Linked DNA regions of Lonchura striata. The protein of the gene in region 4 purifies or fractionates together with the protein of the main gene of each other region. This does not show direct contact. Links are inferred from orthologs where the notes say so. Each region holds a gene or a part of one and is shown on either strand. Other genes may lie near its edges. The genes, in order: MTCL1, TWF1, TNKS1BP1 and CAPZA2.

Region 1 (7,299 bases), on a different chromosome or scaffold from region 4:
CTGCATTTCTTTGTTATTAAATGCCTTATACAGCCAGTACAGCATAAAGGGATCTTGATGTGACTGATCATTCGTCTCCCTCTAATGTGTTCTGCTTGCAGCACGTTTTCAGTGCCACAGCCCGACTTTGAGCATTAATGCGAATAAATCACTTTATTAAGGTACCTGGATGAACTGGTGCTGCTTGGGACAGCGAACATTACTGTATGTTTCAATGAGAAGAAGGTGCACAGAACACAAAGATACACAGTTTACGGAGGTATCAACTCTCCAGTCTCCTTTCCAATCTGAGGTCACCCTGCCTTGTCATGGGCTTTTCATTAATCTCAGTCTCTATTTGTCAAGGGCAACTCCTCAGAAGTCAGGATGAGTTTCAGTCCTCTTTGCCTGCAGGAGCTTGTGGTTGGTGATGCACTGTGATACAAAGGACAGTTTTAAAACTAAAACATTTACCAATTTAAATGAAGTATTTAGTGGGGGAGAAAAAGGTAGGTGAGATAGAAAAAAATATATTTATTCATGTTTTTGCAATGTAAAATTTACAAGATAACCACAGGAAACTGGGCTCTGTCAGGCACTTAAGTGTCTCAGATTAATTCTCCCAGACAATTCCCAGCCTTTTGTGAATGTACTCCTTTTTTCACATCCCTAATTCTTTTCCCCTCCAGTGCAAAGAAGCCTGGCAGTGTCCCTCAGCTATTGTTTGTAGAAAAGTGGCTTATCTTGAGCCATACTTTTCCTTTCATTTTCCTTTTGAATTGAACCATTCTGTTCATGGGGCAAAGTCAAAACAGGCTACTCATAAATTATCACAGAGCAGTTCCCCTTCCATCACAGACATAAACACTTTGCAAATCTAGGACGTGAAGCTGGAATTCCCATCTATTCTTGGAATTTAGAGCCAAAACCAAGTGAGCGTGGTGACAGTAGTGCAAAAAAACCTTTCTGATATCTCCCATGTAGGGCAACATCTCTAGTATTTAGTGCTTCCATAATAATTATTGTTTCTCATTATGAAATGCAGCACTTTCCATCTCTTTCACTCTGTTTCACATTCTCATAAAGGAAAATTCCTTGAACTGCTTGGCAGTGTACTGACAAAAAAATTTTCATAATTTAAAAAAAAACCCCAAAAATAGAACTAGGAGCAAAACACTGTAGGGAACACTGATAATATGTGGTGGCCTGATAGAAATGTCTTTAAAATGTAACAGTAGTTTGTATTTTATAAGTCATTTTTCTAGATCAACTGAGCCACTTCATAGTACTTCTATAGAAGTGATAGACAGTGATTGTCTCACCCAAACAAGTAAATTACTAATGTTTTACCTGGAGGGAGAATAAGGGGACTTATACCTGTGAATGGGTTTGCTGTGTTTGACTCTCCTCAACGTGTTTTCTATATTTTTTAAAGGACTTGGCCCCACGAAGTCCTGCTGGTAGCTGTAGTAGATGTACATACCGGCAGCATCCAGTGCCATCATTGCCACAATAGGTACTTTGGTACTTTGCCGTGTGACCTGGAAGGCACATTTGGATGCGGGAACATAGCCGTCTGGCAGCGAGGCCAACGGTGGAAACTAAACAGCACTAACAGAAATGGAATTTTCAAGAGATCAAAAAAAACCCACCCAACACAGCCTGGCATCACTGCTGGGTGCCCCGGAGCAGAGCTTTCATCGTTTGCCCACTCGCGGAAGGACCACACCGCCCTGTCGAGGAGATTTGTCCTGCGGGGACGGGGAGGGACCTAGCCTCGCCCTCCGCTGCCGCTCCAAGCGCCGGCTTTCTCCCGGGGCTGGAGCCGCCCTCGCCCCCTGCCCCGCCGGCATCCCGCTCATCTCCGCTCTCCTGGCTGGCGCTGCCCATGCCCGGGGCTCTGTCGTGGAACTGCTCACAATTCCTAGAGACCTGTAAATACAGCTCTGATTTGGATGGTTTTTTTCACCTTTGCAGCCTTTACAAAGTAAGGACTACCTGTTGCATACTCATGCGGTAGCGCTATTCCGCAGGATAAATCAGTGTTCACTTCGTTTACCGGGAGAAAGGAGCCGGGGATGCCCGGGCGGTCCGGTCCTGTTTCTTCCCTGGGCAACGCGACCTGGCCCCAGCACCGGCCTGGCACTGTCAGAAACAGCTGCCCGCCCTGGCCACCCGCCCCGCGGTGCCTTTGCCCTCAGGCTCCAGCAGACCTTGGGCTTTTGCCTTTAGGGGTAATGCCTTGAGCCCAGATGAGCGGGGGATGTGGAGCGCCGCAGGGTGCTGCCACCATCCCATCCCCCCTAAAACGTCTGGGACTGTCCTCCCCCGAGCGCGCTGCAGTCCCTGACATCCAGACGTGGATGATCCGCGCCACCCAAGGACTTCAGAACCTAAGCACGCGTTTACTTTCGTCTGACAAGATAAGGCAGCCACCGCGGCTACTGCAAGGTCCGCTGTGTCCCAGCGGAAGAATCGGAAACATCCCGGCTGGAGAGCCTTTGCTCTCCCCATTAAGGCTGTGCACTTTTCCCACGCCCGAGCCTCTCCTCCCTTTCATTTATTCTCCGGGTGCTTTGCAAACGTAAGAGCTGCAATTTCATATCCTCGTACTCCAAAAAGACGTGTCCGTGCCTTTTGTAGTTCAGCCAGAGCCAGGAACTTGCTGATATCCTCGGATACTCGGCTCCGCCTCTAGGTGAACCTGTATCTGCCTTGAGCAGGGAGATAATGCGGTGGCTGTTGTTTTGCTGCTGCCAGTCCCTGGAGAGAGCATTTCCATGAAGTCTTAGCTCGGGGGGAAAAAAAATCCAAAACAACCAAAACTGACAACGCTATATAGCTCATGACCGAGAAATCAAAATTTCTCCCTAAAATTACTGATAGGAAAAGGCTGGCAGAGGCGTCCCTATAATAAAGCGTGCGAGGAAAGTAGTTTGCGGGGCGGGAGGAGAGCTGCCTGGCTGGTTGACAGAGGGGGCGGATCCTGCGCACGGGCGGGCAGCGCCGAGTCGGAGCGGCCCCGGCAGCCGCGGGGCTATTTCAGGAGCCGGGCGGAGGCGGCGGCTGGAGCCGGGGCAGTGATGGGGTTAGCGGCGCCGGTGGGCTGAGCGGGGGACTTGCAAGTGGAGGCGAAGGCAACCGGGAAAACACGCCTTTGCCTCGGATTGGGTGGGAAACGGATCGGTTTTTTGGGCTGCATCACAACTTGAGCAGCATCAAGCTGAGCCAGGCGGAGAGGGGAGCGGGAGGGGAAGAAGAAGGAGGAGGAGGAGGAGGAGGAGGAGAAGGAGGAGACGGCTGCCACCGGGGGATTTGGGCTCGATTTATTGAAACAAATCAGTGCTCGGGAGAGAGCGGCGAGGAGGAGGAGAAGGTGGGGGTGGGGGGGCAGGAAGAGGGGGATCGAGAAAGAAAAGTGTGAGGGCTGTGGCTGGGAGAAGCAGAAGTGATGAGAGAGCGAGCAGGGAGGCTGGAGGAGGCTGCCCGTCCTGCCGCCGCGCCCCGCGGGGACCGCCGCTCCTGCCGCCGCCGGGCGGCCCCGCGGCCGCCGCTGCCGCCCCGCCGCCCCCGGCCCGCGCCATGGAGGCGCTGAACGGCCCCGGCCCGGGGCCCGGCGACGCGCTGCGGCCGCCGCCGCCTTCGCCCGGCCACCACCACCCGCACGCCGAGAAGAAGCGGCCGCACCGCGCCCCGTCGCCCGCCAGACCCTTCCTCAAGGACCTGCACGCCCGCGCCGCCGCCAAGCCTCCGCCCGCGCCCCCCAAGTCCCCCGGGCTCCCCGCCCGGGCGCCCTCGTCGCCGCACCCGGGCGCCCACCAGCCCTCCGCGGGGCTCCTGGCGGCGCCGGGCCGCCTCTCCCGCCGCCCCGCCGCCCCGGGGGGCAAGGCGGCCGCCGCCGCCGTCACCGCCGTCGGCAGGGCGGGCGCCAAGGCCGCCCCCTGCGCCAAGCGGGCGGCCCGCGGTCCGGAGCCGGGGCCCGGCGGCCGGGGCGCGGGGCGGCAGCCCGGCGGGGAGGCGGCCCCGCCGCCCGGCAAGGGCAGGAAGGCGAAGCGGGGAGCCGCGGCGGGCAGCGGCCATGCGGCGGCGGCGCTGGCCCGCGTCGGCCACACGGACAGCAGCTCCGACCTCTCCGACTGCCCCTCCGAGCCGCTCTCCGACGAGCAGCGCCTGGCCCCGGCCGCCAGCAGCGACGCCGAGTCCGGCACCGGCTCCAGCGACCGCGAGCGGGAGCCGCCCGCCGCTCATCCCGCCGCTCATCCCGGCGTTCATCCCGCCGCCGAGCAGCCCCGCGCCGGCCACGGCCCTGGCCCCGGGCGCGGAGCTGCGCCGGCCCCCGGCTTCCGCGGGGATGTGCTACCCGCGGCCACGGGCGGGGGGCGAGCCCCGAGCCGCGGGGAGCCGCCGCCGGCGGCCCCGGAGGAGCTGCAGCGGGAGGTGGAGGAGCTGCGCTCGGAGAACGAGTACCTCAAGGTGAGCATCGCCCGCGGAGCTCGGCCTCGGCGGGGAAGGGAAGGGCGGGAGGCGGCCGCGGTAGAAACGCGGCCCCCTCCTGCCCAGGAACGTGGGGACAGCGCGTGGAAGTAGGGGAAGAATATTCGCGCTGCCTGGAGTCACCTCCCATGGGACCCCCGCGCCCGCTGGTCCAAATGCCAAATTTTACCTGCAGGAGGGAAATAGGGGCAGGGAGAGCCAGCCGGGTGCCTCGGCCCCCTCCTTCCCCGCCCCCACGAAGCGGGACCCGGCACGGCTTAAGGGACTTAAGCGTATGATCGCGGCCCCCTGCAAAGCCCGGTTTGTGGGCGCTGGATGAACGTCAGTCCGATGCAACATGTACCGTGGCAATGTTGCGTTTGGTTGACGTGGTGGTAGCTCAGCAAACCCCGACTCTTTCTAAAGCACTGCAAACATTCTACTGGTTAGCAGAACTTTGCTTTCCAGGAACTGATTTCCTCAGTGTCACCCTTTAGGAAAAGGCAAAGGAACAGGTTCCCTCATTTGATGTGGAAAGGATGACAGCATTATGTGCTCTGCTTATTGCGTTACTTTATCTCTGGAAAGTGAAGCCACTCGCTGTGCAGTACTAAGAGAACAACAAGAGCAGCAAGAAAAAAAGTGTCATTGCATCCTTGTACAGGATATCAGTATGAATCCATCCTCGGAGAAACAGGAAAGCTAAATTCAGGCAATCTCTGAGCTGGGTTGACCTGTGGGAACCTTTAGTTGGACTTGTACTTACAATCTGATCTTTTGGCAGAGCAAAGAAGCTACATCCATAAAGATCTATAAATAAGATAAACTGAGATAATCCTGTAACCACAACCACTGTTTGGCTCTACCTCTGGTGAAAACAATCTTTGTTCCCCGATATTGGGAACACCCTGTTGTCAAGCAAAAGAACCATATAAATCCATGTAGATCTAGCATTCTTTCTCAAATAAGAGTGGGAGTTTTATGTATAGCCTTGGGAAAGAAGAGTGATAAAGATACAAGCTAGGCTCGTTAAGGGGTTTTGGCTAAGTTACACGAAACAATATTCAGCATAGCAAAAGGGTAACAGCAGGGGTGCTGCAAGGTTCTTTGCCAGGTCTGGTGCTGCTTAGTGAACTGGAAAAAGGAACAAGCCATGATACAGCAAAATTTTCAGAAGACATTAAATGTTTCTAGCTTAAGTAAAGTCTGGCAAAGATAGAACTTAATAACAAAGTTAACCCCTGAGGAATGTGTGAAAAATGGAGGCAGAGGATGGTAAATAAATCCTAATATGCAAAATCTTAAGTACTTGGAGGGAATAAGTATGCACTTTTCTGTTTAAATGTGTTAACTCAGGAGCGTAATGAGAAAAGGAGAAAGGAAAATCTGCAAAAATGGTTAGATTACAGCGGGAACTGAACAGAGACTAACTAAAAAAATCTGGCAATATTTTATAAAACTGTAGTTGTTACACAGGTCAGTGAGTGTACCTGAAATACTGTGGGCACTGCTGGTCATCTAGAAAAGGAAAATACAAAACCAGACCAATAAAAATTATTGGCTCATAGAAAAGCTTTTATAGCACTCATTGGATGGGAAACTCGAGTGTGGTAAGGATATGTAATAGTCTATAAAAAGATGAGCAGCACAGAGAACCTTTATCACAAGCTTCTGTTTTATTTGACAGCCTAGAAGCAAGAGGAGATGTAATGAAATCAGAATTGATAATGGGAATCACTTAAGGAGTAGCTAACTGGCACTGCCATTAGAAGTCATGAAGTCCAAGAGCATCTCTTTGCATTACAGGATTTGAACAAGTATATGAGTGTTATATAATTAAACCCATTACAAAGTATATGTCAAGTTCTCTTTATACTGAAGGTGATTTTTAACTATGGGAAACTGGCAAAAAAAAAAAAAAAAAAAAAAAAAAGAGCGTGTCAGAATTGCCCAGGACAGACCCTTGTTAGTGTGTCCCACCTGAGGAGCCCTGTAATCATGCGACCTAGTTGGCAATGGCAAGTCTTAGGTAAAGAACTTTATTATCTTCATTCCAAATTTTTCACCCTGTGCAACAATGCCCTCAGATCTTTCACCTTGATATCTTAATCATCTACAGCATTTGTTTCCTCACACTTTTTTTGATTCAGATTGTGACTTTATCACGTTCAAAATATTCCTGAGTCTCGGAGGATAATACAGACTGGTTTCTTCGGTGGGCATGTCCTGATGCCTGTAAAGCCATGAACTAATACCATTGCCTCTTCTGAGGGAAATGAGTACATTTTCTGCTTTGCTTGGCCACCTTGGTGTGTGAGGTCTTAATTCTGCTTCTCTCTCAAAATGGTTGGAAACGGCCCAGTGGTGCAAAAATTTTATCAGAATTCCCAATTCTCATTTGCCTCTCCTAGGAAAACCTATAAAAAAGTCTGCAAATTAAAACCACATCACTGTCTGAGTTGTTTACTTGTGGGTTTGTTCCATGTGTTTTTTACAATGCAGTTCTCTTGGTTGGCATTGGAGTGAGCTGTGTTTCTCCAGAGGGGGCTAAGGGAAAACAGGGATGCTGTCAACTGTAAATAGACAAATTATTAGATAAATCCCAGAAGAAACTGTTAATTTCCTGAGCATGGCCACAAGCCAAATTTTGTGGGTTTCACTCCTCCTTATCCCTCCCTGCAGCTGGAGTGCAGGCCTAAGTGCACATAATAAAGTCTTTTTCAGGGAATTTTATCTTTCAGGTAGGAAGGTCTTTCATGTATCTTTCATGTGTCTGTAACAGGTTATCGAAGATACACACACAGATACTTAGTGCTAAAGATTACTAGAGATTAAAGTGTTTTCAGA
Region 2 (7,644 bases), about 4.9 Mb from region 4:
AGGCAACATTACAAAACAGCCCTGCTTTCTAGCATACCAAATGATTTTCAACATTGTGAAAATTACAGGTGACATCATATCATCAATCTCATGTTTCAGAGTTAACACAGCAACACAATAAAAATATGACGCATCTCAAATTACAAAAGCTTTAAGAAGTCTGCAGGCTTAGTACAAACTTTCAGACAGAAACGTTACGCCTGCCAGGAAAATGTTAGAGCTTGTCTGGCTGAAGTGATGGTCTTTCCTGAGAGCACCTCTCTGCAGCATACCAGTGAAAGCTACCACTCATTGCTCATCGTTCATACCTCCTTATCTCCTTCTATGGTCGAGGACATTGTTCAAGCCCCAACCTACTGTAACAAGATAGCTTTATAGTGAATTTACAATGTAACTAAAATATTTTTACATGCTTGTAAATCACATTGACACTATACCACCAACATGACAGACTCACTTCCGTAAGCACACTGAAGAAGTGCTCTTGACTGGCGTGAAGACTATTGTTATCTTAACTGCTCTGCTAAATAATCTGAGTGCAAATTGGTTTAATTATACCAGAGACTGAGAGTGTAAGGATTTACTGAGAAACATTTATTGCAAGCTGGTCCTTTAAGTAATCCCATAGGATAGAGCACAGTACCAGCAAAACAAACATCAAACCAGGAAACTAATAAAATAGATTATTTATAGTCAGGTTGAGGCCAAATGAACAGATGGTATCCAGCAACATTACTGCCCATACTCACAACATTTTACATTTATGTTTGTCCAAGTGGCGCCAGGCCCATTCTGAGAGTCCAAAATGGCATGTTAAAAGAACATGTTAAGCAAACTGAATTGCATTTGGTTTCCAGTTCAACCCCAGTTTCATCCCAGCTGTCTTCTTCCCACTAACCAGTGCAGACCGTCACAGTAATTTGCTGACAGCTTTTCTAATCATCTCTGTTGGTCTTCACCATTCCACTGAGCAACCAAACATTGTGCCATTTTCTAGACTTTTTGTTGCCCCAGAATATTCTTTGTCCTCTTCTTGTCTATTATCCTTTTGTTCCTTATTATCTCATTTCAACACTACACACCAAAACAAGAACAGAATACAGCATGTCTCTATACCAATTCCAGAACTGTTTCCTGAAAAAATATTTAGAGACACTTACGAAACCAGCTCACTATCAAGTGATTTATGTTTTTTTTTTCATCATGAAGGTATTTAAAATCACAAAAATTATATTATTTTCTGTTTAAACTTTCTGCATAGCAGAGGGCCACCGAATCAAAATCTGGGCTTATTTCACAACTATTTTGCAGGGCATATTATTTTAAAATTATTTAGAGGACTGTAAACTCATTCAATTGTATTTCACCCTAGTTACTGCATTCTGTAACTTCCTACAGTGTTCTTCTGCACTGGCCTGTTTAAAAAGTCCAGTCCTTTTAGCAACTGCCTGGTACACATCACTGTGCCCATGACTTCATTTGTTTCCAGAAAAAAGCAGCCCATGCTGCCAAATATTGTAATTGTTTATGAGTGACAGTAGCCTGTTTGTAGCTAAAGCCAGCAATGGCACAAGTAGAGCTACTCCTCTTCCAAATGGCAAGGGCTGATGCATTGCTGCAAACAGGACTCCTGATGAGTGCCTGCTGAGGCAGGTTCCCAAAGGAAAGCTGCCGAGTTCTCTACAGCTCTCCTCCGAGGACAAATGATTCTCAGAAACGAAGCAGAGCTGCAGAAGAGGATTAGCCATTCTTTTGCTTACAACAGAGTATTCTGCTCCTCCCTGCCAGCATTGCCAGGAGAACAAGGGATTATGATTTACTAACAGGTTTCCCCAGACTGGAAAATTAAAGCCATTCCAGGTGCACCTCTAGCCTGAGAGTGGTTGAAGAACTTAAAACAACAAGCTGCAAAAAAAGATCAAAGATTGGCATGCAAAGGAAGGAAGAGAGGGGAAAGAGTGCAAACCATATGCAGCTAATAGACAAAAAAGGGCATAGAAGAGCAGCTAAGGGCTGCCGTGCTGGGACAAAAGTCACCTTCAACAATAAATACCGGAGAGCAGGCAAAGTACATGGTACTAGTCACCGAACACGGAGATTGCAGAAATCCAGACAGTAAAACCCGAGCCCTCCATAATCCTGCTATATAATCCCTGCTTAGCAATTCTGTGATTCAGGGGAACCCGCTAATACTGCGAAACAATACTGTCTCCTTCTAATTGCTCCTCGCACCGTCCAAGGCCTGGAAGCACGGGAAAACAGGTTCCCACATACTTTCCCCCTTTGTGGCCTCTCTCCAGTGATGGGCTTTATAGCGGACCCTCCTACGCCAGGGCTCCTGCTCCTCCCCAGAGCTCTCGCTCCGACGGACCCAGCAGCGATCCCCGCATTTCCCGTGCTGTCCGACCCATCCCAAACTCGGTACGGCGACCCCGAGCAGGCGACAGCCCCCGGCTCGACGCTGCCTCCGCCACCGCAGGAAAACTGCACCGGGAGCGACCTGAGCCCAGGCGGGCCGTGCCCGCCATCCATGGGGCTCTGCAGCGAACACTTGCCCCGGGCGGGCTCCCTGCCTCCCCGGGGCGGACAGGCGCGCTTCGCTGGGCCGATAAGCCCTGCATGCTTCACCCGAATGGGAACGGCGCTAGGGGTTCGACCCCGGAGCCGTGGCCGCCGGGGACGAAACCAGCGGCAGTTCCCCCGGTCGCTCGCCCGGCGCAAAGGACGGGCTCCTCCGGCAGCAAACAAAGAGCGCAGGAGTGGGAAAATCCCGCCGGGAACGGCCCGCTCAGCGCCGCGCCCCGACCCGCGGAGAAAGGCGCTCCGCCCGCCCGCCCGGCAGGACCACGGCGGAGACGGGGCCGGCTGTCATGAGGAGCAGCGGGCAGCGCGGAGCGGAGCTGCGGGGAGCCGCGCGGGTACCTTGGATGCCGGTCTGGTGGGACATGTCGCACCGCGCCCGGCACCGCCGCCTCCCTCCCTCCCTCCCTCGCCGCCCGCCCGGCACGGCCCGGCCCGGCCCGGCCGCGCGCACGTGACGCGCCGCCGCCACTCAGCGGCCGGGAGCGAGCGCGGCGCCTTCCGGGCCCCGCCGGCCGGGGGCTGCGGGGCGGCCGGCCCTGCCCGGCACCGCCCCGCGCCGCTGCCCCGCGCCTCCTCTCGGCGCTCCGGAGCGGGGACGGGGCGCTGCTTTCCCCTCTCCTCTACCCTCTGCTCTCCCTCTCCTGTTTGCCGCCCTCTTCACCTGCTGTCCCGGAGCCGCGGGCATCGCGGGCGCAAAGCCTGCTGTCAGTCCTGCCCCGCAGGAAGGGACATGTGCCCTGCGGCCCGGGTTGCTTGTTAACCGAAGTACTGGAAAATAACTGAGGTGAATTTAGCTGATCTGTAGAAGCCCATGATGGAGACCTGTCACTCTCGCTTAGGGCAGCGCAGGAGTCATCAGGTGTGTGTGTGACAGCAGGCTGCATGCATATACTGGAAATTTGGATTAAAGTCCCTAACAAAGAGCCCACAAGTCGGAACAGAGCCCAGAGCCAGGGCTCACTCCGTTCAAGCCCTTGCCTCTGACAAGGCAGTCTTTCTCTGTTAATTTTGCAGTACGTGGTACGTGGTGGCACCGTATCAACAGAAACAATGAAGACTTCTTCTCTTTCAGTGCGGATCTGGTGACTGAGACACTCGTCTTCCTCGGCAGGGCATGGATCCATGCTTAGGAAGGGTGCATCTGCTTCTCAGGACCCTATCCGCATGGCCAAAGGTTCCTTTATGCCTTTTCAAACTGTGTTGATAGTTTCCTTCAGCTTTTTCTTTCAAAGTTTCCAGTGAAGGAGAGTCCTGCATTATGAATTTAAGCATGCTCTGAAGGTTTATTTGCTTTTGCTAGCTTTTTCAGGTTCATCCATGGGTTGAGAAGCACCATCATCTTAACAACAAAAAGATGGGTACTATAGCTTCTTTAAAAACCCCTTCATTGTCATGCGGTTAGCATTTGTAATCTGTGCTGTGGTTCTAGATTAAGACTTCACAGACAAAATGTGCATGCTGTAGTCATTGATGCTGATGATTCCTTCAGATTCCTGGGAGTTAGCAGATTTTTAGGGGTGCTATTCAGCTAGAGAACACAAGAAGTGCTATAAGAGGGCATATCAAATATCCAGCCCAATGGACCAGGCAAGAATTGAAAAGTAAGACAGGCACATGGTAATCCTTCCCTGGTTCACCTTCTCAGCCTCCGGGATGCTGCAGCTCAGGAATTTTTGAAGTCAGCTGTGTTGATAAATGTGTGTGCCTGTGCTTTGTCAGATCCCTAGTTTAAAGAACATGTGGGATTTAGTGTCCTATTTGGGAAATGTGAAACATCACTGTAACTGTTATGTGAACTGTGCTGTGTAATGCTAGACCAGCAAATACAAAGTCACTGTGGAGACATGTCACCAGCTAATGAACTGGCACTAACAGCAGCTGGGCAAACAGAGAGGCTGCAGCTTTTCTTTCTTCTAGCAAGGAGGCTGAAAGAAACAGGGAAAAGGGTTCATGTGAAACCAGGAAATAAGAGACAGGTAGCACCTACCAGGTACTCAGTGGTTGGCTCTTGTTCCTCTATTGTAAGGCTCCAGGAGCACCAGGATTATATCAAAAAAGAAACTCTTGGAGGAGAACTTTCTCAAGAGGAAAGGAGTACTAGAGATCCAATTAAAATGGCAACAAAAGATGTGGTTCTATCGCAATTACTTTAAATTATTTGGTCCCAAGCTTGTTCCTAAATTCTTGGGTTTCTCCTGTTTTGGAATTAGTGCTTGTAATGGATGAAGTTGCCTGAAAAGTATATGAGGGATAAAGAAGTTTTCATTTATAGACAGATGCCTGAAAACACCAATCAGTTCCTTGCTCCAGTTAGTCATGTGTCCCTAGAACCACTACTACTGTCACAGTGTGGTAACAAGGATGTATAGCTAAAACTGTGGAACTGTTTTTTTTCAGTGGAAATTTGATATTTCCTAGACTGGAAATATCAAAATGGTATAACATTTGTCACTATATTCAGATTGTCTTATTTGTCTGTCTGAGGTCATACCACTACAGCTTCCACCAGTCTGAGGGCTCTGAAGTGTAGGAATGTGATCCTAACATCAGTTTTATATTAAACAAGACTGGTACATATTGACATTTTGTAGCACCTTTTTGGCAAAAAGACAAACTGAACATCAAATATATTTTCTTTAAAATCTAAAAAAAAAAAAGTATCACATATATTTTCCTATATTACAGTGATTAATGTGTGACCAAGAAGAGATGTTGCTTTGAAACTAACACAAGCTAGTAGGGATTTTTATATCTAATGAAGATTCCTAAAGGTCTAAATTTTAGTGTCCTTCAGATTCTTACTAAACTGCTCTAAATCATTAAACTCCTATCCAGACCATAAAGATCGAAGATGATAAAGCAAAGCAGTAACAGGAGGCATATTGCTATTTTCATTCAACTAGAGTGAAGACAGTCTTCCTGCCACCAAACAGAAACTTCACTTATATAACACTTATATTAAAAATGGAGATCTTGTATAGGAAAAAAACTCCAAGGCAAACAGGAGGTGCTATTTGTATTCATGTAAAACTTTTATCTGTAAGTCAAGATAGAAAAAAAAAATTCAAATATCCTTTTTTTTTTCTTTTTTTTTAAGAGACTAGGTATGTCTTACAGCAGCCTCTCCTTGTATGTTTTCATGTCAACTAGGACTACTCTACCTTCCACTCCATTTGATTTGCTAGCTTTTACTCCAAGAGAAAGAAAATATTCTTGGGATTGTTTCAGTTCCATTTGGATGATCATACTGACAACCCAGCACATGGTGGCTGGAGAAGGACCCCTTTTAGAAAGCTAGTGAGTCCTGGCAGAGAGCCACCAAACACAATACCGTCTAGATTTAGAGTAGATCTTATCTGCCAAGATCGTTAATTACCTCCTGCAGGGGTTGCTTGTCTGGCCAGTAGTCATGTCTAAACACAGAGCAGTATTTAAAGTTTTCATGAATCTAATGAGCTGGTAGGTAGCTTTGAGTACTCTGGAAAGCAGTAATTTTCTAAAATATTTCCTCACTCAAATATTCCTGTTATTACAAATATATAAAAAATAATACCAAGGCATATGCAATGATTAGGTGAAAATGCATATTACAAAAATTAGAGATTATCCTTCTGTTTTTCCTAACATTATGTGAAGGATACAATAACCCTATTGAAATAATTAAGAATTTTCTCACTGACTTTGGTACAAACAGGATCTACTAGTAGGAAGTTTGTGAAATGCTTTTAGTGGCAGATGATCTAGGATTATAAACTGGTGCAGCACTAGTATGGATCCAGTAATTTTCCTAGTGAACTCAAAAGAGACATGCTGGGCAACATTCCTTTCATGCCCATTTCCACTTTCTTTTATTATTTACTTTAGATGAGTGCATTGAGTCATTGTAAAATAGTATCAGCTCAAACATCAGCACTGATGATTTGTGCAATTGTTGATCTTGTTTTCCATTACTTTAGAGATGGCAGTTCCTCTTTGACAAGGTACAGTTAGTACAAACTAATTCCAGAGGAAGCAAACGCAGCTCTGGCCAAGGCATTGTTTGCACTTGATGCTGAAGACAAAGTCCCAAGTCACTTCCTTTCTTAATTTGTGTTGCAGAGTCTCTGGGCCTTTGTAGCCTAGGAGTATCAATATTTTAGCGTTTTGGTCATTTATCTTATATTTTCTTTGACATTTTGTCTACCCTTTCTGAGCTCATAGTTTCTGCCTGTTTCTTCATGATATGTATGGCTATGATGTAACATTGAATCATAGAATATTTTGGGTTGGCAGGGACCCTTAAGGTCATCTAATCCAACCTCCTGCAAAGAGCAGAAACATCCTCAACTATATCAAGTTCCTCAGAGCACCATCCAACCTGACCTTGAATGTTAGCAGGAGTGGCATATCTACTGCCTCTCTGGATAATCTTTTCCAGTGTTTTACCACCCTCACTGTAGAAAATGTCTTCTTTATATCTAGTCTGAATCGACTATCTTTTAGTTTAAACCATTATTCCTTTTCCTTTCACTACAGGCCCAAAAAGACTGTTCTCACCTTTCCTATAAACACCCTTTCAGTATTGAAAAAATGCAAGAAGAAGTCTTCTCCACAACCCAAACACTCTCAGCTTTTTCTCATAAGAGAGGTATTCTATCCCTCTGATTATTTTTATGACCCTACTCTGGATTCTCTTCAACAGCTCCACATCTTTCCTGTGCTGAGGACTCTAGACATGGATGCAGTGCTTCAGGTGGAATCTCATCAGAGCTGAGTAGGGGTAAAAATCACCTCCCTCAACCTGCTGGCCACACTTCTAGCCAGAGTAGCCCAGAGTACAGCTTGTTTTCTGGGCTGCAAGCAGACATTGTTGGCTCTTTACTATTTTCTTTTCATCCGCCGGTACCCTCAAGTCCTTCTCAGCAGGACTCAATCCAGTAATCCTCCAGCCTTTATTGATTCCAGAGATTGCCCCAACCCAGGTACAGGACTTTTCACTTGACCTTACTGGACCTCATGTGTTTCACTGGGAGTCAACTGCGCCACTCAGCGTGTTGTTTGCAAACTTGCTGAGGGTGCAGT
Region 3 (6,912 bases), on a different chromosome or scaffold from region 4:
AGTGCCAGGGGATCCTTCCCCTGGAGTGTGTGGGGAGCCAGGGGAATGGGAGACACTGAGCTGGGGTTCAGTGGCCGAGGGAGCGCCCGGGGCCTGGGTGGAAGTGACAGGGACCTCGACTGGAGGCTGAGTGAGGGATTTGGGGGAGCCAGGGGGCAGTGTGGGGGAGTCTGGGGCCAGGAGCTCAGCAGGAGCATCAGGGGAGCCAGGGGCTGGGGCAGAGGGCTCAGCAGACTGGAAAGGAGCTCCTGGGGCTGGGGCTGGGCAGGTGGGAGGCCTTGGGGAGCCTGGAGGTCCGAGGGCACCCAGCTGTAGAGTGGAAAGCTGTAGAAAAAGCCAGCAGGGGGTCATATCACTCAAGAGGCCCCTCCAAATATCATCCATCCAAAAGCCAGTCCCCCAAACCTTGGAGGGTCCCTCCCTCCAGCCTCACTCCCCTCCCTGCACCCGGGGCAGGAAGTGCCCATGCTGCGTGCCAGAACCAGGCTGCTCCTGGGTGACTCAGCCAGGGCGGCTCCTGGTGCCCCAGCCCCGCTCCCTGCCCAGCCCCTTGTTGCCCCCAGAGCGCCTGGACAGACGGAGACAAGAAATGAAATAGGAAGAAGTCAGAACCCCCAGCACAGCCCCCTGCCCTGCCCGTGGCTGGCATCCCCCTGCCCAGCACTGCTGGGGTTTGCCCCCTCAGTGGGGTGACCCGGTGCTGCTGCCCAGGCTGACACCCGCAGTGTCACCATGGCCCGGTGTCCTGGTCACTGCCCTGAGTGAGCACAGCAGTGAAAGGGGCTGGCGGGGTGCCCGTGGGGCCTGCCCTGCCACATACCTGCCAGGTCACAGAACCCCAGCTGGTGACTCACAGCTGCTCCCTGCCCATGCCTGGCACTGGTGTTGGCACACGCCACCCCCACACAGGACTTTTGGCACAGAGGGCCCTGAAAGCCCCCAGGAAGGGGCAGCCAGCGCCCCAAGGAGAAAGGAGAGACACGCACCCCGCAGAGAGGGAGCCCCGGAGGAGACAGGAGAGCCCCGAAGGAGAGAGCCCAGGAGCGGAGCCGCCATGGCGCCGGAGGGTGAGGCCAGCACTCACGTCAGGAGGGGATGGCGGCCTCCGGCGTCCACAGGGGTCCCCGGCACAGCTCAGCCCAGCTGGGGGGGAGCTGCTGCAGCGAGAGAAGGGGAAGGGGGGTAAATCTCACTGTGTGCCTCAGTGCTATTCTCCCACCACCCACGAGACAGCCCTGCCCCAAACCACCCTTCAAGGACTTGGGCCCTGCCACAGCTGCACAGTCTGCGGCTTGGACTGTGAGGGGAAGGAGGCAAAGTGGCCCCAGCTCCCCTTCCGGAAAGTTTTCGATCCTTTGGGAGCAAGTTTCTCACACTGCGTTTCAGAGCAGCCCCCCCCCCAGCTCTCCCTGAGGTGCCCAGCTCTTGGGATTGTGGCCAAGCCCTGGCCCTGGCCCAGGACATCCTGCAGCTGGAAGTCCTGCTGATCTGCTCCCTGTGCCCTGGCATGGCCCAGAACGGAAAAAATAGCAAGGCTGGAAAATCAGGAGCATTTCCCGGGGGAGCGACCCCCTGTCTGTCACTCCCAGCCAAGGGGCTGGCTCAGAGCCTGCCCACAGGCAGCTCCTGGCCTGGGACAGCCCATTCTGCGGTTGGCACCAGCCACCCCAGTCTTCCCACGGAGGCAGCTCGAGGCACTGCGGCTCAGGAGGAACCCGGGCCCCGTGCCGGTGACCAGACCTCAGCTCCGTTACATTCCCAAGCCTGGGATGGCTCAGAGTGATATTCCCTGTTCCCACTGCCACTCCTCCCAGCATCGGTCCCTGTGCCCTCACCTCATTTCAGCCACAGGGTGTCCGTCATCCCCCATTCCCAGCTCGCCTGCAGCAGCTCGGGGCATCTGGGGGGCTTCGCTTGCAGGGTCTCCGTCTGCCTCCCCGCTGGGACGCTTCCGGAAAGCAACAAAGGTCTTGGAGCCGAAGCGGGAGGAGGGGTCGGTGCAGAAGGGTGAGAGCCAAGCCCGGTCTGGGCTGCCTGGGCCCTCCCTGCTGTCCATCTTGGCCAGGATCTCCTCCACGGTGGTGCCCGGGAACCGCTCCGGCCTGGTGGCCACCGGCACCGGCGTCACCTTGAAGGGCACCGGGCCCTTGCGCGAGGGGGTTGGCGGGGCCGACGGCACCTCCTCCTCGGAGCCCGTGACCAGGGGCGACGAGAGCCCCTTCCCATTGGGGGTCTCGGGTGATCTGACAGTGAAGGAGGGGCGCCGGAGGGGCCCCCCCGTGGCTGCCCCGCTGTAGGGCTGGGGGCCGGCCAGGCGGTTCATCTTCTCTGCTGAGGGCAGCTCGGGCCGGGGGTGCCGCGGGCCCGGCGTGGGGGGCAGCACCGGGGGCTTGGCGGGCACGGCCGGCTTGGGCAGCACGTGGGGCTTGGGCCGCACCGGCGGCTTGGGGCGTGCGCTGCCTACAGAGAGCAAGGGAAGGGGACGGGGTCAGCGGAGTGGTGTGGCCCCCCCCCCCCCAAAATGGGAGCAGCCCTCAGGGGGCTGCCCCAGCAACCTCCCCCGCCCCAATGGCCCCCAGCCCGAGGTACCGACCTTTATCGGGGCTGCCGGCCAGCCCGGGCCCCCCGGTGGTGGCAGGGGGAGTGCAGGGCACGGTGGGGTGCAGGGGCTGCGGCTGGGAGGCCATGGCGACACAGGGATGTGGGGGGCACAGTGCAGGGTCAGCCCCTGGGGAGAGAGGGAGAATCGGTTTGGGGAGCGCCTCGAGCCTGGGGGAACCCAACCACCCTGTGGGGCCCTGTGCAAGCCCTGTCCAGCTGTGCCAAACGGTGATCACACCGTGGTGCCACCCTTAGTACATTGGCCCCGGCTCACCTGAGCCAACCTGGCCCCAGCAGCAGACCCAGACACGGCCCCAGCCCCCACCTATAACCACAGGGACCCCACACTACACCCCTGCCGCCACGGGGCCGCTCCTTTACCTGTCTGACCCTGCGCTAACCCGTCCCAGCACACACGTGTCACTCTCACCGACCTTCGCCAAGCCTCCAGCGCCCAGCTGGCCCCCAGTCTGCCCCAGTCCCCATCTCCGCTCCCTGCCCAGGTCACCCCCCGGCCCCCCCGAGCCCCCGGCAGCCCGGGAGGCACCGCCCGGTCCCCCGGGACCCTCGGCCAGCCCCTCTCAGGGGCCGCGGGTGCCCCACTCACCTTCCCCACTTCGGCCTCATGTCGGGGGCGGGCCGGGGACACACGTGGGGGGCGCAGAGCGGGCGGGGAGGAGGGGTTAGTGTCCCCACGGGTCTCACGCTGCTGCCGCCGCCTCTCCCGTGACTCACCGGGGCTGCGGGGACAGGAAAAACCCGCTCGGTGCCTCCTCCCGGCCCTGCCCTCTCTCCCCTGCCCTCCCCCCGCCGCCCTCCTCTCCCCGCCTCGCTGCCTCCTGCCCCGCCGGGGTCCACCCTCCCCACGACCCCCCTCCTCTCGCCTTCCACGGGGGAACCGCCACCACTACCCACATCTGGCAACCATCCGGCCCGTTTCCCGGCCCGGGATGGCGGCGGGGCCCCGGGATGCGGGTCCGGCCCCCCGGGGTCCTCCGCCAGCGCGGCCTAGCCTCGTTGCCGTGGCAACGGAGCCTGCGATCGAGTGGCTGAGCAGGCCGCGCCCGCGGCCTAGCGCCGTCCCCATGGCAACGAAGCCCCCCACTCAATTCGGGGGTCCCGGCCCGTGTTGCCCGCCGGGGCCGAAGCCGCGTGGTTCCCCGCGGGCGCCACGGGCCCGGGGGGATCCCGGTTACCTGCAGCCTCATGCCGGCAGAGACCCCCACTCACCCTCCACCGGCGCTGCTCATGCATATTCATGAGCGCCCCGGTCACGCCCCAGGGGCGGGGGGCGGGGCAGAGCGGCGCCGCGTGGCGGGCGGGCCGGGGAGCGCCCGAAATGGGGCTGGGGGCACACGCTGGAGACCTCCAGCACTCCCCGAACAATCGCCCTCGGGGGCCAACAGCCGAGCAGGACCCCCCCGCCTGCCAATGATCCCATTGCCGGGGTCCGCCAGCCGCGGGGCTGCTGCCTGAGGGGCGGTTTAGGTGTGACAATAGAGCCCTCCCACCATTTGGGCATCCAGGGTCCCTTGTGCCCACCGCGGAGCCGCCCCGCGGGGCTCCTGCTTCCCCGTAGCCCCATCCCAGCGGTGCCAGTAAAGGCAGCGGAAGGAGGGGGGAACAGGCAGCCATGAGGCCCCCCCGGGGCTGGTTCCAGACCGGGAATCGGCTGCAATCAACACCGGAGGGGAAACTGGCCTTAATCGGATCATCCCCCTCATGAGGGAGGTAGAAAAACCCCCAAATGGCATCAGGATCGAGCGAGGGGCTGTAATTAGGAGCCCTGATGGCTGAGCAGGGTCTGGGGGCCGCTAATGGAGGGTGGGGAGAGAGTGAAGTCAGCCCTGGAAGCTGTTCAAGGAGGGGAATGAGCTCCCGGATGGCTGCAGGAAGGAAGGAGGGATGGGGGAGCCAGCCCCACACCCACACAAACACCATCAGTGGGTTTTTTTTTTATTCAACCCGAGTTGCCATGTGAACGGACCCAAAATACAAAAAAACAACACCAAAAAAAACCAACGAGGGAAGGAAAGAAAAAGAGAGAAACCCAAGTGTTTAGAAAAAATAAATTGATGGGATACAAATGTGAGGGACTGAGGAGCCTCTGGCACCTCCTGCCACCACGGGGTGCATGGGAGGACAGGGGAACCTGGCCCTGCTCCCAGGTGGGAGCCATCCAGAGCCTGGGACCCCGGTCCCTGCCATGGGGCTGGCACGCCCAGTCCTCTCCCGACCTGGGATCCAGCCTGAAGCCAGCTGCGATGGCGCTAATCCGAGCCGGAGGCAGAGTCCTCTGAGCTGGGGGCTGGGCTGGCAGCTCCCTCATCCTCGGAGTCCTGCAGGCGGGGGACAAACAGGTCAGCAGGGGACAATGAAGGCAGGGCAGTATCCTTTGCTACAGCAGGCACAGGGTGATGGTGGTGACTTGGGGACACACCAAGGGATGTCCCCAAGGACATGAAGTACCAGAAGGACCCAGCCTCTCCAGCAGAATCCACCAGGATGTTCCTCAAGGAGGAGGGGCTGGGACCCTCCCAGAGAGTTGTTCCCCAGGGAAGAGGGACCAGGACCTTCCCCAGTTGTGACCCCCACCTCCTTCTTGCTCTCTGCAGAGGAGCTCTCATCACTGGATACGAATTCCTTGCTCTTGAAGCTGTCGCTCATGCCCTTAGCTGGGGACTTGGAGGATGAGGACTTGGAGGTGGCACCTTTCTTGTCCCCCTTCCCCTTCACCTGCTTCTCTTGCTTCTTCTTCTTCTTCTTTGACTTCTCCCTGCATGGGGTTGGGTGAGCAGAAGGCAGAGGAGCCACATTACTCAGCTGGTCCCGGGAACAGCTCGATTTTGGGGGGCAAAGCTCTGCCAGCCCCTTGCCAGCACACTCACCCCCTGTGGCTGTCGGCCTTGCTGCCCACACTGTATTCCTTCATGGCCTTCTCGTAGTCCCGCCTGGCATCTTCTGCCTTCCGATCCCACTCCTGCAGCCAGAGCATGGGCTCAGCGAGGCCCCCCTCCTCCTCTACCATCCTCCAGCACCCCGCCCTGCTCCCACTTCTGATCACCCAGCTCACCAGCCTGAGGATGTCCCCACCCTTTCCCAACTCCACATCTGTGCAACTCCAGGCTCACAGGAGCAAGGAAGGGTCTTCCATAGCCAGCCACCCCTCCTGTACCAGGCCCAGCTCTCTCCTGGGCTCCCCATCCCTCACCTCCTTCTTCTCTTTGGACATGGCCTTCCAGAGCTCCCCAGCCTTCTTGGACAGATCGGTGATGCTGATGCCAGGGTGGTCCGACTTGATTTTTTCCCGGTTGGCATTCAGCCAGAGCATGTAGGCTGACATTGGGCGCTTGGGAGCATTGGGGTCCTTCCCCTTCTTGCTCTGGGAGGTGGAGAACATGCGTGGAAGCCCAATGCACCCCTCACCCAACACCTTGGGACCAGGCTCTGCTCACCTCTGCACCCCCCAGCAATCCAGCTGCAGCCCTGGGAGAGGGCTGAAGGGACAGGCTGCTGGAGAACAGCCTGACAACAACCAGGATAGGCTGGGCATGGGAATAATGTGCCCTTGGGAGAGGCTCAGCCTGGACCCATCTGGAGGCAGCTACACCAGGCCAGACAACAGCTCTGACCAGGGCACTGGCAAGTGTGACAGAGGCTGAGGTGAGGCAGCTCAGGCGGGGCTGTGACCTGCCTGACGCCGCTCCAGGACTGGTCCTGCTCCCATAGCAGACCCTCACCTCCGGCTGCTTCTTGCGGGGCTTGCGGTCCTTGACGATCTTGGCCTTCTTGGCCGGTTTCTTGTCATCACGGTCGCTGTCGCCGTCACCGCTGGAGGAACTGGCCGAGGCGTTGCTGTCGAACCTGCACGGGGCCACCAGCCTCAGAGCTGCCCCCAGACACCACAGCCCTGAGCCTTCCCGGGCTGGAGCTGCTCTGCTCCCGTTAACAGCCCCCGGGGGAGCGGCCTTCCACGGACATGGCTCGTTGTGTTCTGCTTCCTGGACATTCGGAGCTCTCATGGTGCCAGGGCTCAGTTTCAAGCTCCCCCACAACTCCCACCCATCTTCACCCCAGCCTGGGGCTTTAACCCTCCTCCCAACTGTTCTCTTTCCTGAAAAGTACAGCCAAGGCCTCCCCTGAAGCCTTTCCAGAACTTTCTCATACGACCTAATGCCATTACAATGAAGCGAGCCCAGAACTGCCCCAGCTGCCCAACATTCCTAAACCCAGGGCTGTACACTCCCAAATCCAGGTGATCCCAGGCAAGTTTGAGCATCTCTCAATGCTCACACAGCCCTAGAACAGCAC
Region 4 (7,660 bases):
CTCAAATGCTGGTTAGTCAGAATGGGCTGGCTTAGATAAGGTTGCTTAGGAACTTGCCCTTTGAGTTTTGGGTGTCTCTAGGAACTGAGACTGTACCTCTGGGTGAGGTGTTGCAAGGTTTGTCTAAGCCCACAGTCAAAAACTTAAATGCTGGTTAGTCAGAATGGGCTGGCTTAGATAAGGTTGCTTAGGAACTTGCCCTTTGAGTTTTGGGTGTCTCTAGGAACTGAGACTGTACCTCTGGGTGAGGTGTTGCAAGGTTTGTCTAAGCCCACAGTCAAAAACTTATCCTAATTTATGATTGTTGCAACTTATGTACAGTGCTGCTTGTCTTTTACCATGTACCTCCATAGTGAATTACTGTGCAAAGCAAATTGTTTGTCGTTTTGACAAGTGAAAAGTAATTACTTGCAGCTTGAATACAAATGAAACCTGTTATTATAAATAAAAGATCAGTGATTTCTAAGATTTCAGGTCATATATTTTTCCTTAGTACTAGTTTGAAGAAATCAGGTACCCTGTGGGAATTTTGACTTCTACCATGTTGAGGAGTATTGGGTATTGATAATGTAGTGGCGCCTGAGGACCATCAGGTCTCCTTCTTGCTGTCTTTGTACTCTCAAAACTTCTTGCAGAAGCTTGCTACCTAGGAAACCTCATAGCTCAAGTAGATAAGAGAAACAAATTGAAGCAAAAATAGAGTAATAGGACAAGTTATTGGCAAATACAGAGATGAAACTGGAGACATTACTTTATGATATAATAGGTATGGTTCTACCTTCTACCAATAGTCTTCAACCTGCAGTTCTGCTGTGAAATTCTATTTTCAGTTGGTTTCAATTATGGCAGTCAAAAAGGAACAGGAAAAGGGTTTTAGCTGTATTATTTAGCAAACCCATATATTTTTTACAGCCCTGTATACTATTCATTTTCAGGCTCTGGAAGTGGGATGTAAAGGAGTTTAAAGTGCTTGTTGAGAAATGAAAGCAGGCTTTTGAGCATGCAGCAATTAACTTTTTTAATCCTTGAGTAACAAATTTCTGAAATGTAAAATACTTCCAGTACTTTCTTAGCTTGACAGAAGGCATTAAAACCTTGAATAGGTAACTTAGAGAGAGAATTGTAAGACGCTGGAATTGGCAGGGGCAGACAACAGTTACAGTGGTATCATATTCTATCCATTTTCAGCAAGGTCTGTTACGTTCCTTTTCTCTCGCCACAGCTATTGAATCTGTGGGCTTAATGTCCTTGGAGTATCTCAGTGTAGGAAGAAGAATCACTTTAAAAGCTTGGGCTTTGTAGTAGAAGAATATTTTGCAAATATGGACCAAGTGCTTTTTAGCTTACGGTGGATACCACTTTGTAAAGACTGATGAGAAAGAGAGGCCTTGATGCTGCAACTGAGGATCATGTGTGTTCATGTCCGTGTAACAGGACATCTTGGATTTTTATGTGGAGATGACACTGTTGGTTTCTTTGTGAAGTCTTAGTTAGTAATTTCTTTTACCATGTACATCTCAAATAAAACTTAATGCTTCTGCTTTTCATGAAATGTAAAATTTTACTACTTTTTCAGTGAATGACAGCAAGGAAATAATTTTTTTGCAAGGAAGTAATTTTTTTTATGTTGTTTATCTGTTGTCTGTCTGGTCCATAAGCTTAAGTATGCAGTTGCTTGACTACAATTGTGTATATATATATATATAATTATAAATAGTTGTATAGAAATACATACATTATAAAAATATATATAAATAGCTGTGTATAAATATCTATATAATAAAAGGTTTCCAATTTTATATGCTTAGGAGTAATAAGAATAACTACAGAATAACATGGGGGAGATTCGTCTTCTCTTACTTTTTTATGGTTAGTCTTGTGTATTACTCAAATAACATCCTTTGCTTTCATATTCTTTTTTGCTATCTGTGGCTGACGCACCAACTTACAGGAGTTTGGGTTTTTTAAAATTTTCCTAATATGATGTGGTGTGTAAAGTGATTTTAAGATAGAGACTTTTATGATATTTAGATACTCTTCCGCTGAAAGGTCCTACAGTGAAGCATCCACCACCTTTCAAAGTGGTTATTTTTGTGAAAATAGATCTCATTATTGAAGTCAGATCATCAGGTAAGAATGAAGCTAAATTATCACACATTGTGTAAGATTTATTTTTTGCAGCACTGTGAAGGGCTGGTACCGTTACATATTCTTAAATACTTGTGTATTGAAAACATTTGGGGCAAACACATGTTCTCCAGATGCAGTGTAGCTTTAGGCATTACAGTTAAGGAAATGTCTGTTCAATCAAAGCCATAGGTATGGAATGTGCCCCTCCTTTCCTGTGCCACAGAACCACATTTTTACAGTGTTTTTCCTTAGCTCTTCTAGAAGCAGAAGTGAACTGGTTACTGCAGTGAATTTTCAGTTGAGCTTGGTAGGAAGGCAGTTGCAGCACTACATTTATATTCATTCCCTCTCTACCAGAGTCGTTGCCTTTGTTCCATGTTTATGTGAAATGATGCATGTTTTGGGATGCTGTTTTGCTGTTTGAAGTTATACCTGTGGGTATGGTGAGGTTTATGAGATACAGTGAAGGCAGTTTGCTGCTGACATGGGGTAATTACTTTCTCACAGTTTAATTCTCGGAGCTTGTCCAGCTGTTTGAAGGCTTTTTAGCCTCACTAAACTGTCAACAGCAGGAAGCAATAATAATTATTTAAAGCTCTTTTTTAGCTAAATTGGTTGTTATCTTCTTGCCACCTTCCTTTAGCTAGATCAATTTGCTTGTCTGAATACTCACAGAAATAGATGAGCACTGATGATACATAGGAGTTTGTAAAAATAGTGGTGTAACATTCTGGGAAGTATCTAACCTAAAGATTTAATGAGCAATTGGAGCCAGTACTACCGAATATCTGGCTCTCCAAAGGGGAAGCCAGTTACATTTTCTTGAAACACCAAAAGGTTTACAAAGTCAAAAACTATGTTGATGTTTGGCTACAGCACCAAACATTGTATCCTGCAAATATTTGAACCTTAGACTGTGCTCCTTGATGTGTTTTATTGTCAATGCAAAATTCATTTCGAGTGGTAGATGTCAGAGAAGTTTTGCTTTATAAGGAAAAATAAAGCTGCATATTGAAAAATAATGTTACAGCTCAAGCTGAACTCAAATCACAAGTTTGTTTGAATGAAACTCAGAACTAAGTAAAACTAGGTAAGTGTTATGTCCAGTATCACTTCAGTGAGTACAGTCTGTATCGCTTAATTTGAGTGTGACTTACAGACTTGAGAGAATACAAATTTGCCTCATTTAACTGATGTCTGTGTTAATATTTATTTATGTGACTATGAGCTAATTGTGAGAAAACCCTGTAGCTAATTTAATTGGGACAGGACAAACCCATTTGTTTAGTTGCCTGCAGACAGGTTTTTAACAAGAACTATACAGAAGGCATGACTGAGAGCAGAGCTCTCTAGTCTCTGCTAGAGAGAGATGTGATGTGATATCTCAGTATCTTTTTTTTGCCAAACACAGGTTTCTCTGAGTGGGAGATTTATTGTATGCTGTAAGATAGCTAGGGTACCCTCAGGAATCCTGAATGCAAATGCATGATATACAATGCTTTGAGCCTGCTGTAACAGTAATAAAAGTAACTTTGAGAAGCTATTTTTATTCCCCTGTGATTAACAACAAAGTTGTCTTTGAGTGGGAATTATTGTGGGAATCTTTTGCATGCCCTCTCTCTTCTTACTTTCTCTTAGGTAAAAAGGGGTTTTTAGTATCTATTTCACTATTTCATTTTTACTGCTGTGGAGCAGTGAACTTTAACCTATTAGGAGTGTAAAGGAAGGGGTGGGTCTCCCTCCTGCAACGAGTTCACAGCTGAATTTCTGAATTTGAAATAGGGGATATATAGGAAAGAATAAGGGTGAGTATATGGTTTCACAGTATCCTACTTATCAGCATGTTTTTTCTGTGCAGCATGGATGTTGATTGAAGGAGTGAGCTGTCAGGGTGCCTAACAAACAAAACTCTGAAATACCTGTCCTTCAGTTGAGTTAAAAAGGGGGAAAGAAAAATGAAAGAGGGAGAGTTTTAATGTCTCTGTTACTGTTAGATGCACCCTAGCAGAGTCCAAGGAGTGAGCTGCCTTGGCAGGGCTGACAGTGGCACTGAGAAGCCCTGCAGTGGGAACACTTCTCCTTGACCATATATAGGCACATACAGCACACAAGGTCGGGCTTCTCCAACCAGTGTCACTTCTCATGTGGCAGGAACAGGAAGAGTGATCTCGGAGCATTTGAAGCCACTATCTATAACTTCTTAAAAATAAAATAAACTTCAGAATGTCTTAGGCTGGAAAAGATAGAGTAGGATTTCTCTCATGTACCTGATGGGTATCATGCATTGAGAAAAATTAAATTGTGAAGTAAAGGCAGAAGTATGGAAAAAAATAGATTTAGAATAACTGCCACTATTCTATACATTACTACGTTGCTCTTTGCTAGGGTAGTCTGAAAACTACAAATATTGTTGTAACTGAGTGTAGGAATTTGTTGCTAGACCAACTGTTTTAATCCCTAGCAGAATAAAGAATTAGGCATAATGCCTAATATTCATCACATACATCAATCCTGTCCTTTTCTCTTTTGCTAGGCTTCTCTGTACGAATTTTTACCTTAATTGACATAGTTTACTTTATAAAATCAATATGCTTGTAGATTTGATAAACTTTTAACTGATGTAATGGGGTAGCATTTGACTTCACTTGAATTGTGGAAGTAAACCATTGGTGATCAGATGTTCTGGGTTAGTGAAGTCTGAAGTTTATAGTTCCTTGCTACTCTGAAGACCTGAAGCTGAAAACTGACTCAAATCTACATCAATAAAACACTATCTTAAACTTTAGGTAGTGTTTTGGGAGTAACTACAGTAATAAGTGGAGAAACTTCAGGTGTTTTATGTCTTCGAGTTTTCTAAAGGAAGACTCAACTGTAGCAATTTTTTGTTACTTGCTGATACATACCTAAGTTTCTTGTACTATGTGTAAGGGTGAAGTACTCTTGAATGGAAAAACGTTTTGTCGTTTGGATTCTTAAGATATTATGATGTTTCTGTTTTGGCTTGCTCAAATCAATTTTTAGACACCTCGGCGCATTGAATAATCAGCATTGGTTGTAAATGCACCTGATCGGTTTTCTTAAAATTATTTTCAGCAGATACAACTTCCTATCTCAGTTTGACTAAAGAGCAGTTTAACTTTTTGCTTGTCACTTTATATTACAGGTTATGTGCATTTTTAATTTATCTTTTTTTAGTTGCCTGTGAACATCATATTTTATACAGAGTGCCCCTTTGTTTTAATTGTGCTTTCCCAAGTGATAGCTGAGGCTTTTTGCTGCCAAAAGGGGGAGATCTTAATCTCATAGAGGCTTATGGAGGTACATTCATTTATCCTTCAGTATCAGTCTGGGTTTGAAAAACAGAAGCCTCCTTTAGAGCATTTATTTCTGCAAAAATTCAGTGGCAATATATCTGTAACTGCTTTTCAATTCTAATGTGTTAAGTGAGACTACTGGATTTAATTCTTTTATATGGGCTTTCTGTATGTATGAATTGGGGAAATAATGGCTTTATCAGATACTCATCACAGAGAAGTTAATTCAGTTTAACTGCTGAAGGAAAATGGGATTACTTTTAAATTGGCTTTACAAAGGCAGGTTAGCAAAATACAGTGTCTTAGCTGATACACTCTCAACTTCTGAAAACACATTAGATTTTTTTGCTTTTGTAAACATGAATATACTTTATACTTGATGAGGTATTCATTGCAAATGTGCATGATTGTCTATCTGTTCTATAAAATGTTTCATCTATGATGAATTTTCACACAAAAAACTATCAGTGAGAAATTTAATTTACTTGTAAAATGTTTGTAAAAAGTAATGTCTAGGTTGGTCTGTCGTGAGGACATCTGAATGCTTTTGAATTAATATTACTTATAGTGTAGCTAATTTTATAAGAATCGTTTTTACTGATAGTGAAAAAAATAAGCAAAACCAGATCTATATTACCAAAACAGCTGAAAATGAGGTAGTGCTCCAGTTTTAGTATAGACCCAATGTCTCACCTTACAGGTGTTACCAGTTTAAAGCATGTGGCCATTCAGGGTGCAGTTTGGGCACCCATGTTTTGCTTAATTTTGCTTCTATAGCTGCTGCCTGCCTAAAACTTATGGACCTGTTATTTCACAACTCCAGATGTCTATAAGTCTTGTTTCTCTGCTTGCCCAGAGCTAACCTGGCCTTGGCAGGGGTAAGCAGTCCTGTTCACATGAAGTCAATGAATCAAGAAATGCTGTTCCTTCATCTTGAGCTGGGAGTCAGCCCACTGATAGTCATGCTGAAATCACACAACTAAATACTCGCTTTTCAGGGCTGATCCAGGACCCTATTAATTGGTGTAATGGTTTAACCCCAGGCATGCCACTAAGCCCCACACAGCCACTCAGTCAGTGCCCCACCAGTGGGATTGGGGAGAGAATTGGAAGGGTAAAAGTAGGAAAACTCATGGGTTGAGGTAAATATAATTTAAGAAGGAAAGCAAAAGTTGTGCATGCAAGCAAAGCTAAATAGGGAATTAATTCAGTATTTCCCATGGGCAGGCAGCTATTCAGCCATCTGTAGGAGAACAGAGTCCCCCATAACATGTAATGGTGACTTGGGAAGTCAAATGTCATCACTCCAAAAATCTCCCACCCTTCCTCCTTCTTCCCCCACTTTATATACTGGGTATGATTTGGTGTGGTGTGGAATATCCCTTGGTCAGTCAGGGTCACCTGCTCTGGCTGTGTGTCCTCCCAGTCTCCCACACACCCCCAGCTTCCTTGCCAGTGTGTCAGTATGAACAGCAGAAAAGGCCTTGGCTGTGTAAGCCCTGCTCAGCAGCAGCACAAACAGCTGTGATCAACACTGTGTTCAGCACAAATCCAAAACACAGTCTTCTACCAGCAACTGTTACGAGAATTAGTTCTGCCCCAACCAAAAGCAGCATTATTGGTCATTTGATAAAATGCACTGGTGATAGAACCTTGGAGCCTGTCTTACCCTTGTTCTTTGTAAGTGCTTTAATAATATATAGGTTAGCTTTGTTTTGCATTCTTTATATTGCTTTGGCTTGAGCATTGAGCTGTGTGTGGTGCCTTGACTTCAGCAAGAGGTACCAGGAGTGTGGGGATTGGTGATTAAGATAATGTGTGTAACGCAGATAAGTTTGCATTCTTCTAATTCAAAGGAGCTGATCTAAGTTGCTTTAATAAGCAGCCATAGAAGAAGGTCCTCTTGCCTCTCTGTGTCTTTTTTGAAGAGTGAACTTTGTGGCATTTATCTCAGTATAATGCAAATTCATGTTTACATGGAAGAGGAGTTGGTAGGAGTAAAGAGGAGATGGTAGGTACTTGAGGAAGCAGACAAATGCTGCCTGCAATCCAAAATGCAACATTTAGGTTAGAAAGTTGGGAACTGACAACTTTTCCATTATCCAGCTCTGAATAGTTGTGTTCTGTTAATGATCTGAAAGCTGCCTGGGCTGGTCACTTGGGATCTCATGAAGGTTCAACACTGCCAATGAGGCAGCTAAGTGCTCTCCCAGGAC

The links.
Region 1: the proteins of CAPZA2 (region 4) and MTCL1 purify together in Homo sapiens (affinity purification with mass spectrometry; 3 studies listed by BioGRID and IntAct, counting the BioPlex papers as one, with this or other methods). This does not show direct contact. The link is inferred for Lonchura striata from reciprocal best matches to the Homo sapiens genes CAPZA2 and MTCL1.
Region 2: the proteins of CAPZA2 (region 4) and TWF1 purify together in Homo sapiens (affinity purification with mass spectrometry; 3 studies listed by BioGRID and IntAct, with this or other methods). This does not show direct contact. The link is inferred for Lonchura striata from reciprocal best matches to the Homo sapiens genes CAPZA2 and TWF1.
Region 3: the proteins of CAPZA2 (region 4) and TNKS1BP1 purify together in Homo sapiens (affinity purification with mass spectrometry; 4 studies listed by BioGRID and IntAct, counting the BioPlex papers as one, with this or other methods). This does not show direct contact. The link is inferred for Lonchura striata from reciprocal best matches to the Homo sapiens genes CAPZA2 and TNKS1BP1.

The regions. Positions count from the first base shown.
Region 1 is NC_134603.1:51,366,802-51,374,100, forward strand, and holds the start of MTCL1 (microtubule cross-linking factor 1), read left to right. Parts: upstream 1-4,297; 5' UTR 4,298-4,452; intron 4,453-7,299. UniProt on the Homo sapiens protein: Microtubule-associated factor involved in the late phase of epithelial polarization and microtubule dynamics regulation.
Region 2 is NC_134607.1:39,397,511-39,405,154, forward strand, and holds the start of TWF1 (twinfilin-1), read right to left. Parts: upstream 3,010-7,644; 5' UTR 2,948-3,009; coding exon 2,923-2,947; intron 1-2,922. UniProt on the Homo sapiens protein: Actin-binding protein involved in motile and morphological processes. Inhibits actin polymerization, likely by sequestering G-actin. By capping the barbed ends of filaments, it also regulates motility.
Region 3 is NC_134608.1:53,173,505-53,180,416, forward strand, and holds the start of TNKS1BP1 (182 kDa tankyrase-1-binding protein), read right to left. Parts: upstream 3,007-6,912; 5' UTR 2,983-3,006; intron 2,729-2,982; 5' UTR 2,688-2,728; coding exon 2,594-2,687; intron 2,461-2,593; coding exon 1,836-2,460; intron 1,158-1,835; coding exon 1,085-1,157; intron 325-1,084; coding exon 1-324. Other genes in the region: FACT complex subunit SSRP1, read right to left, coding at 4,872-4,940, 5,197-5,377, 5,490-5,581, 5,813-5,983, 6,342-6,465.
Region 4 is NC_134607.1:34,494,505-34,502,164, reverse strand, and holds the start of CAPZA2 (F-actin-capping protein subunit alpha-2), read left to right. Parts: upstream 1-4,655; 5' UTR 4,656-5,442; coding exon 5,443-5,544; intron 5,545-7,660. UniProt on the Homo sapiens protein: F-actin-capping proteins bind in a Ca(2+)-independent manner to the fast growing ends of actin filaments (barbed end) thereby blocking the exchange of subunits at these ends.